2 linked regions of the Arabidopsis thaliana genome follow. The protein of the gene in region 2 interacts with the protein of the main gene of each other region in a pairwise test. Each region holds a gene or a part of one and is shown on either strand. Other genes may lie near its edges.

Region 1 (4,216 bases), on a different chromosome or scaffold from region 2:
GTGGTGATCCTGACTTTGTGGTGATCCTGCCTTCTGGTTTTGCTATTTTTCCAGATGGTACGGGTAAGCCTGGAGGAAAAGAAGGAGGATCACTTTTGACCATTTCCTTCCAAATGCTGGTTGAGTCAGGTCCTGAGGCTAGGCTGAGTGTTAGCTCTGTTGCAACTACTGAGAATCTGATTCGTACAACCGTGCGGAGGATCAAAGATTTGTTTCCTTGTCAGACTGCTTGAACCACCCCCATTTCGGTAATCTATTGGAGAGCTTCAAAAGGGGAGGAGTCAAGAACGAACCTCAAGGAGATTGGTTTTTTACGAGGTTCGGGATTTGACTAGCCCTGGAATAAACCCATTCAAGATGGAAAAAACAACTATCTTTTCCTTTCATTTGAGTCTTTTGTTTCCTTGTCATTGTTTGGACTTGGAACCTTTTGCTATTTCAGTTGAGTCTTTGGTTTCCTTGTCATTGTTGGACTTGGAACCTTTTGTTATTTCATTCGAGTCTTTGGTTTCCTTGTCATTGTTGGACTTGGAAACCTTTTGTTATTTCAGTTGAGTCTGTTTGTTTCCTTGTCATTGTTGGACATGGAACCTTTCGTTGTTTCAGTTGAGTCTGTTTGTTTCCTTGTCATTGTTGGACTTGGAAACCTTTATGAAGTTATTGAGTACTCTTTTTCTCTATTTGAGTTTCAAATTTGTTTTTTGTTTTCTTTCTATTGACTTTAGATCTTCTTCTAGAGTATGGATATTTCTTTTGTATTGTTTTTGTTGTCTATTTCTGTAGTTTGGTTTATCAAAACTTCACACCTTTTCTTCCCAAGACTCTCTGTTTTGCAAGAGAGCTTAAAGAGTTTTTGGCTGTTGCGCGTTGCCTATGGTTTTAGATTGACCAAACCCAACAAGACTAAGAAATCTGTGCTGAACATGTAGACCTTTTGGGAATGGGAATCACAACGTGTGATTTGTCAAGACCCAACAATGTAGACCTTTTGGTGAAGTGAACTGTAAAATATTTTCAGTTTAACTTCATTTAATTTCAAACAAGAACACAGATGACATGATATTGCTAAAAAAACAGGAAGAATACATCACAAAGGTTCAAAATTTTCTGTTTGAAAAGCCAAATCCACCTATAGCAGAAATTCTCAGAGTCAAAAGATACACTTGCTGATCATCAAGTGTACCTCAAGCACGCTTTCTCCTGGCCAAAATAGCAGGTCTCTTGCCAACAGCTCCACCACTTTTGTTGGATTGAGAAAGAAGACCACGAAGAAGAGCTAGAATACCAACACCCATGAATGGCACATACATCATCAACAATTTCTCAGATGCCTTCCCTGATCCTATCATCTCTCCCAGTATAGCAGCCTAATAAGTAATGAATACTCAATATCAGATTCTTCATCACAAGGCATATTAGCAATGAATGCGGAAAGATTCACATTGCAGAACAATAAGTATAAGTTCGATAACGTTACTAATTCTAATAACCATGAAACTAGTCATTCAACATAGTAGAAACTCAAAATCTCTCTCCCTCATCAACATACAATGTTGTGATTTTAGGGAACCAAATGAAATCTTGAATCAAGCATTATACAAATTTCACTAGTCTGCTCCTAGTTCATACTTTGTAATGGTCCAGTTTCACAGACTTTAACATTGATCACCAATAATCATTTCTCCTATAATCTTCATTAATCTCAGATTTCAGATCCATAAATCAACAAAATCTTACTCTAAATCAAACACGTTATATCCAAATTGATCAGAAACAGCGAGATTAAGATCTAAATGTACCATAGAAGTCACGACGGAAGCTCCGTACACCATTGAGGTGGTACCAAACCACGATTTCCCAGCGAGAATTGCGTAGACGTTGACGATTGAGAGCGGCCAAAGAAGCAAAAGCTCATGCCAGACGAGTCCGACTAGGAAATGCGGCTTCTCTTTGACTAGATAATCTCCAAATTCATCAATGTACCAGCGATTCAGATCGACGATAAACGCCGGGAAGATATCGCCGGGAAGACTCGTTTGACCGTCGATAAGCGGCGCAATTACCGCCATGAGAGCAAAGTATAAGAAGAGAACCGCATCGATCAACTTGCAAAATGCTCCCATTTTTTTTCTTCTTCTCCTTCTTCAATGGATTTTGTTTTTCTCTCTGCTTTAATCTGTCGTTGACCGCGGAAACGAAGAGCCGGCTACTTAATAATTGGCCAAATCTAAATTAAAGCGAACCGGTTTAAACGGCTACCATTTTTCCGGTTTGATTCAGTGGTAAATTCGAACACTACCGGGCCTTAGGCCCATAATCTTCCTCGGAGGATGTATATAGTATCCAGAAAAAATAGTCACCCGAAGGACTACACTAATTAAGAGAGCCCATGATCTGTTACAAAATCTTAAGTTCTAAACATTTGAATAAGTTTCACATCCTCTACATAGTCTAGAAAAATGTGAACTCTACGGTTCTAATAACTTTCGACTCTTGAATTTGCAGATGTTTTATTTTTTATTTTTCAGGGAGTCTAAAGACATGATCATTTCAAAATTCCTTATCTCTCACGCCTTGGAGGAATCATATTCGTAAACACACTTGCAAGTTACAACCTTGCATTGCCTTAAGCAAATTCTTTAGCAAGGTACATTTCTTAGTGTTACGTTTTAGATCTTTTAAAATGTTGAGACTACTTGGTATTGAAACCATGACTCAGTTCACTTGTTCGTCTTGCAAGATGGTAGGGAAATTGTTTTGCATTTTTATCTCTATCTATGTAATAAATCTATGTACCTTTCTAAGTGTAATGTTATATCTGCAGTCATTAAACAAATTGTGTAACTCGTTATTATATATCTCACTGTGGAGTTTCGTGATCTTTCGACTGCGAATTCTCAGCTGAACTTTGGCCATCTTTGAGTTTCTTACTGCTCTTCTCCTTAAGCATCTCCTTAATCTCTGCTTCTCTCTTATCAACAACTTTGATCAAATCCTTGAAACTCACTGCTCTCAAACTTTTCCCTCTAGAAGAACCAGCCTCCTCGCTCCTCGCCTGTACTTCATCACTCTCTTCTGGTCTTAACCGTTGGTATTGCCAGAAAACTTTCCAGCAGAAGAGTGTGAGTGCAATGAACCAAACGACGCCACATATTAGGAAGAGTCCCCAGAAACTCTGTACCGATATTTGATAGTTTTCTGTATCTGAAATCTGCATTGTACATTCGTGGTCGTAGGTAAGCCATTTCTTGCGGATTTTCTCGAGTTTTCCTTCTTCAGCCAGTTGCAGGATCGCTGTCGACATGTCCACAGCTAGAGGAGAGTCTCTCTGGAACGCCTGCAAGAATCGAGATCCATTAAGCAAAGTTTTAACAGAGACTGATCTTAAAAAATTGAAGTTGGTTTTCACATACAAATCCCCAGCCTGTCCGAGTGAATTCCTGTCCAACTGTTCGAAACTTGCAGTTGCTGTTTGACAAGAGAGCTTTAATGTAAGGAAGCTCGTCGACAATGGCTGCCACGCCACCGCCTCTGGGACCACGTTGAAGAGCAGAGAGATATTCTTCTTCGTCTTTAAGCGGAATGATTCTTGATGGAGCTATGTTAAGTTCATTGACCAGAAATTTCCACGCAAAGGTACCATCTTGGACTCCAATGGGTTCGTTGCTTGCTATTAAAGTGTCCATTCCTTCTATCCGAGATGTTAGCTGTTGAACGGTGAGGATTGAAGTGAGACTGGCTGTGTAGCTTGAGTTGATGATTAGAACCACAAATAACCATACGAGTAGCACAAACCTTCCCAACGTGCTCACCGTATTCTCCCCTGAAGATCAACAAAGGAAGAAGAATAAAACACCTTGCGACCTTGGTAACAAAAGAAAAGAACCGAGAGTTTCTTCTCTTTGATGTTTTCGTATGATCTTAAATGTAATTGTGTGCATACTGTGAGAGAAGAACATTGTTGAGAAGCTAAACCTGCAATATTGAAGACGAGAAAGGAAGGGGGTAAAGCAAAGCTTTAGCACTTGAGCTTAAACTAATACATATGAGTTTTGTGTCGATTCAATAATTGTATGGAACTAACCAGAAGACTGTAATGATTTGACGCCTAGGAGGTCCGCGGAATTCTTCGTTAAATCGATGTTCAAGAATCCAGATGACGGCTCCAACAAAGAGAAAAAGGGCACCGGTCACAGCCCACATCTCTATAGTGAAT
Region 2 (5,901 bases):
AACCGGTAAACTGTCTCAAAAGCCGTTGAATTTTCTATGTGAAAGTCAACGGAACTACCAACGTTAGTTATAACGTCGTCAAATCCTCCCTTTGAGTAAAACCGGTTAGGTATGGAGACAATCTCGATTCCGTTAACGAAAGCTAAGGAATCTAAAGACGGCGTGAAAGTGAGATTCAACGTTTGGTAAACCGGAATAATAAACTCTTTGATTATAAACTCCGTTTGCGGTTTAGATGCTTTTACCGTTAAGTCAGCGCTGAAGTTGTTCAAGAGAGTGAAGCCGTTGACTTTGACGGAGAAGAAGGATTTGACGGCGTTGAATTGGGAACCGTATCGGGTCGGGTAAAAGTATAACCGGAGAAAATTTGAACCGGGAGTGACTGGAAAACTGTAGGTGAACTCAGATCGGAATATTCGAGCTGTCATGTACGGAATCTGAGAAACTCCTGATTCTTGGTATGACGCTTGTGCAGTGAACGAAGCGTTGACTAAATTTGACGATAGAATTTTCTGATTTTCCGCCGTCCAGTTTCGGCCACTAACGTCGACGTTGTTTGAAGTGTCGCCGCAGTTGAAGAGAAAGACATCGGTGGGTTCATACGTCGACGTTGCTCCTTCTCCTACTATGGGGGTGGAAACGAGAATAGAGAATATTAACAAAGCGTGACGGATCATTTGGTATTGAAGTTGAAAAAGAAAAGATTAGGTGTTTTTCATTTTTCATAACTAGGTTATGACTTAAGAGCCACGTGAAATGGCGAAGGAACTTATTTAACAATTTTGTTTTTTTTAACGACTGTATTTAACAAAATTTTATATTGCAAAACTTTTTTGATTGCATTTTGAGACAAATGTCAAACATATTCTCAACCGTTACGAACCGCCAAAAAAAAATCCAACTTTATCTCTGGTCAAATAAAAGCAAGTATATAATATCTAAATTTAAGCTGCTAAATAATCATCAAAATGTAATTTAAATACAATAATGTGTTTATTCAACAATTATACATACACAAATATATATCAACCCTAACCAGAATGTGATACTTGTTTACCAAGCCATCAAATCTACCGTGCTTTAGGTTCATTGATCTCCGAAAATACTCCCCAACTCGAACCACTCCTCTCATCACCAACAACTAGAACAGAGTCATCGGTCGTGGTCGATTTCCCAACGTGTCCTGTAGTCCTACTAAACAAGTCATCTTCTCCGTCCGTGGTCGTACCAACTTCACCACTTGGCATTAGATCCAGAGACTCCACGTTGTCATTCTTCTTCTTAGCAGTCTCGTGAAGCTGAAGAGCAAACTCAAGCGCCCAAACAACGTCGTTCATCGGTGGCCGTTCCATACCACGGTCTTGAACACATCTAATGGCTATCTCACAAAACTTCTCCATCGAGGTCGAAGTGATATCAGCGGTTAAATCTGAGTCAATGATCTGATCAACGGTTCTTTTATTGAAATTTGACTTCACCCATCGGATCAAATCTGCTTGTTCCGGTGGAACACTTTGCATTCTGATCGGTCTACAGCACAAAACCTCCAACAGAACAACTCCAAAAGAGTACACGTCGGATTTTTCGGTCAAGATTTGACGGCGATAGTACTCGGGATCCAAGTAACCAAACGTTCCTTTAACGACGGTGGAGACATGCGTTTGAGAAGCACTAGTAGGACCAACTCTTGATAAACCAAAGTCAGATACTTTAGCGACGAAGTTCTCATCGAGAAGTATGTTTGTGGTTTTGATGTCTCTATGTATGATCGTGTACTTGGCTCCAGTATGAAGATACTGTAATCCACGAGCTGCTCCAATGCAAATCTCTAGCCTTCGTTTCCATGACAATGGAGGATCAGAGGCCTTGTCTCTCCTGAAAAGATGATCTTTAAGTGTACCATGTGGCATATACTCATAGACAAGTACCATCTCGTTGTCGTCATCGCAATATCCGATTAGAGAGACGAGGTGTACATGTCGAAGCTTTGAAAGCATCTCGAGCTCTGTATCGAACTCTTTAGCACCTTGGTTCGATGTAATTTCCAGCCGTTTAACCGCAACAAGTGTGGCTCCACCGTCTATTCGTCCTTTGTAGACAGAACCAAACCCGCCTACTCCTATGATTAGTTTTTCCTCGAAATCATTTGTGGCGGATTTGATTTCGTAGATGGAGAATCGACGGCAGAGATCTGATGGAAGAGATGAGGCAGATTTTGTATTTGTAGAGCCTGTCCCGTGCAGAAGAGGACCCCATGACGAGTTCGTAGAAGGCTTGTTCGTGGTATCTACACTAGACTCGTTGCTCTTCTTCTTTCTCTTCATAACAACGAGGACAACAACAAGAACAAAAAACGCTAGCGCAACTGCAGAACCAACCACTGCAATTATTATTGGCAAAACATGTGATGACTTGCCTTTTCCTTTTAGTGGCGTTATAGATTGTGGTGGTGGACTTAGTTGAGGAATTGGATTAAGCCCCGCAAGATTACCATCAGAATTACTCAGCTTGAGAATCTCTACACCACTCAAAATAGCGTCGTAATAGGTTGGATAGTCCTCTTTGTAAGGTGTCAAGTCAACTCGAAGACTAGGTCTCTGGCTAGTTCCGTCGGCGTCGACAAGTACCTTGAAATCTAGATACATCGGTAGCCGAAAACCACCACTCAGCCGAAACACGTCCATTTCACGCATGGCCAGTTGATATCCGAAGAAGATGGAGAAGACGCGGTCACCCGTTTTGTTGACTTCCGGTTGCGTCTCACAGAAATGAAGCCTCACTATATAGGCAAACCCGGCATCGACTTCAAAGAGCCACGTCAGGTTGAAATTCAGGTTTAGCTCAGGACTGTCTTTGTTCCCCATCAGGCGACACGTCGTGTATACATCTTCCGGCGCAACGTACGCGGGAGTTTTATCCGTGTAGTTGATCTTTACACCTGTTATATTCGGAATGGCTCCCGAATTAATACCGAGTAAGAAACCTTCATCGGAAAGCCAACGCCGGAACATTCCCGAATCTCCGACGTCGCCCACCACTTTTCCACCTACGTTTACCCGATAAACGGTCTCGAAAGCCGTGGAGTTGTCTATCTCGAAGTCAACGTCCCTACCAACGTTTCTTACAACGTCGTCAAATCCTCCCTTTGAGTAAAACCGGTCAGGCATGGAGATAATCTCGATTCCGTTAACGAAAGCTAATGAATTCGGAGAGGGCGTGAACGTGAGATCAAGAGTTTGGTTAACCGGAACGATAAACTCTTTGATTAGAGAACTTGACTCCGGTATGGAAGCTTTTACACTGAAGTTATGCAAGAGAGTGAAACGGTTGACGTTGACGGAGAAGAAGGATTTAACGGCGTCGAAATCGGATCCGTAACGGGTCGGATAAAAGTATAACCGGAGGAATTTCCAGCCGGGAGAGACTGGAAAACTGTAAGTGAAATCATATCGGAAAATCCTAGCTTTCAAGTACGGCACTTGAGGAATCCCTGATTCTTGGTATGACGCAGATGAAGTGAACGACGCGTCGTCAACTGCATTCGATGACATAAATTTCGGATTCTCCGTCGTCCAGTTCCGGCCACTGTAGTCCATGTTGTTGGAGGTATCGCCGCAATTGATGAGAAAGACATCAGTGGGCTCATACGACGCCGTTGCGTCGACGACGGCGGAAACGAGAATAGTGAAAATTACTAAAACGTGACAGATCATTGGAATTGATAAAAAAAAAAAAACGAGAAGAGAATTGAAGAATTTTGAGAAGATAAGAGACTAATGGGTGGTGAGTGACTCACTTGGTCAACCATTGACTTTTCAGGTCAAGCAAAACAAGAAGGTATCGATGAAGTTTTTCTTCCGTGGGGTCAATTTGCCTAAGGTCCAAGAATTAAAAGATGACGCAAATTGACTCATTTGTTGTTTTAGTCTACCCTCAGACTCAAACCCAAAAAAGCTCGACTCTTTTAGAGCTTTGGGTTCATTTTAGAGGGTTCCAGTAAATAGGTTAAAATCAAACCACATGCTATGAGCTTCAGTTAGTTAGACTTAGCAAGCCTAGAAGATATAATTGTAAATTTGTAATGTAAAATTTGGTTGTGGAAAATAACTAATATTGTTTATATTGAGGTTTGTTTTGCAGTGTTTTTTACAATTGAGATATAAAAAGAGATTGATTTTTAATTATAAAACTATCAAAAATATTTTTCAGTATCTTAGTTTTAAAGTTTTATATTTATTTGTGAATATATTACTTATTTACATATACGTTTATTTTAAAAGAGGAAAATTATGTTTATAACAATGATTGAAAGCTTTATTAAGATAGAAAATAAGCTAAGAACTTAGATAGCTCATGAAAAACTTATTGTGCAAAGAACCTAAAAGAGATGAAACATTAATTGAAGAACACCAATCTTAGTAAAAAAATATATTTGATTTGATATATCATAAAAAGTGTTAAGGAGGAGAGTTAAACCTCAAAGTTACGTCCATTGATTCTCGATACGAACTAAGCTTACTAAAAACCCCTAAGTTTACTACTTGTCTGATTTTGTACATCAATTACCATTCATCGCTTAAGTAAAATAAATAGCGAAGGTTGTTTAAATGGCTAGTTTCAGATAGTATATAAGGATATGAGGTTTTTTATTTCTTTTCTTTGTCATCTAAGTTATATATTGGATTTGTTGTCGAAAGGCTGAGAACATACATCAAAGGACCGAAGAACACGAATAAAACAAAGCCAACATATACATATTAAAATATACTTTGGTATCTCAGGAGAAAAAGCCGAATAAAGAAACTTCGGAGACTAGCAAGAAACACTAAAACAACACGATCTAAAATTAGAATAAGTAGACTACGTACAACACTTAGACATAAACCAATAAAAATCCGAGAACTAAAACAGACTAGAGACACTGAAGGAAAAGCAACAAATCCCGAACACAGCTTCTGAACTTCTCGTCCTTTCTTACTTGCGATTAGTACACTTGAATAATACATTAATACGTAAACTTGCACTTCCATAAGGACATGAGTTCAAAACCCACTTTTGGCATATTATATTTTCTTCACTATTATTATGTTTACCAAATGAATCTTTTTTTGTTTTTGTTTTTTGAGTGTTTCCCTTCAGAGGAGTTTGGTCCTGAATTCTTTAGTTCAGTTTCTGCTTGGGAGACGTACCTTTAAACTTTACCAATTTATTTAATTTTTAAAGAAGTAGTCCACAATTGTATATATATCTAGATAGAGCAACTCTTAGTTTTTATAGAATAATTACTTCGCTGACTTTAAAGAAAATTATTAAGAAACAACACTCAATAATTTGGCAACAAACAGACACCGTACATTTTGTTACAAGCAAGTTATTTCCCAAACGCTTAGAACGACACAAACTGAAACATAGAGAATATATAAGGAGTATGTTACATGCCCTTAGGAAAGCGTTTGCATCTGGTGTAGACAAGACAATTCTTCTTCTTGGCATATTTAACGGCTCCACTACAAGGATTACATGCCTGCTGAGGTCGCAAGACCGGATAGGTTATGTACGACGAACCACCTTTCATCATTGGCGCCGCAAAAGAACTCCAAATCACTTCATCGTCATGGACGGCTGTGAGATTATACCAACCATTTATCACGTTATCGGAGGTTGCTACGGCAAAGAGCAGGAGGAGGAAGAAGAAGACTATTGACTTCATTTCTTCAATTATTTGTTTTTCTGTGGTGTGAGGAGTGATTTGCTTGAGGAGTGATTGCTTTTTGTCGATAATGGATAGGGAACGTAAATATAGGGGTAGACTGATTACTTTGGTTGGTCCATATTTAATACAAAATAATTGATCCCCTAGCGAAAACAATTATTTGAAAACAAATATATAATACACATTTT

Evidence for each region. Proteins that work in one complex are often made in the same cells at the same time.
Region 1: the proteins of AT5G38990 (region 2) and AT2G32380 interact in a protein complementation assay, tested with the Arabidopsis thaliana proteins (one large-scale study listed by BioGRID).

What each region holds. Positions count from the first base shown.
Region 1 is NC_003071.7:13,745,608-13,749,823, forward strand, and holds AT2G32380 (Transmembrane protein 97, Putative), read right to left. Parts: upstream 2,204-4,216; 5' UTR 2,124-2,203; coding exon 1,800-2,123; intron 1,368-1,799; coding exon 1,185-1,367; 3' UTR 959-1,184; downstream 1-958. Other genes in the region: HDG3 (homeodomain GLABROUS 3), read left to right, coding at 1-233; GLR3.5 (glutamate receptor 3.5), read right to left, coding at 2,861-3,337, 3,414-3,823, 3,944-3,975, 4,085-4,216.
Region 2 is NC_003076.8:15,606,636-15,612,536, reverse strand, and holds AT5G38990 (Malectin/receptor-like protein kinase family protein), read right to left. Parts: upstream 3,853-5,901; 5' UTR 3,714-3,852; coding exon 1,071-3,713; 3' UTR 873-1,070; downstream 1-872. Other genes in the region: AT5G39000 (Malectin/receptor-like protein kinase family protein), read right to left, coding at 1-677; AT5G38980 (uncharacterized protein), read right to left, coding at 5,432-5,710.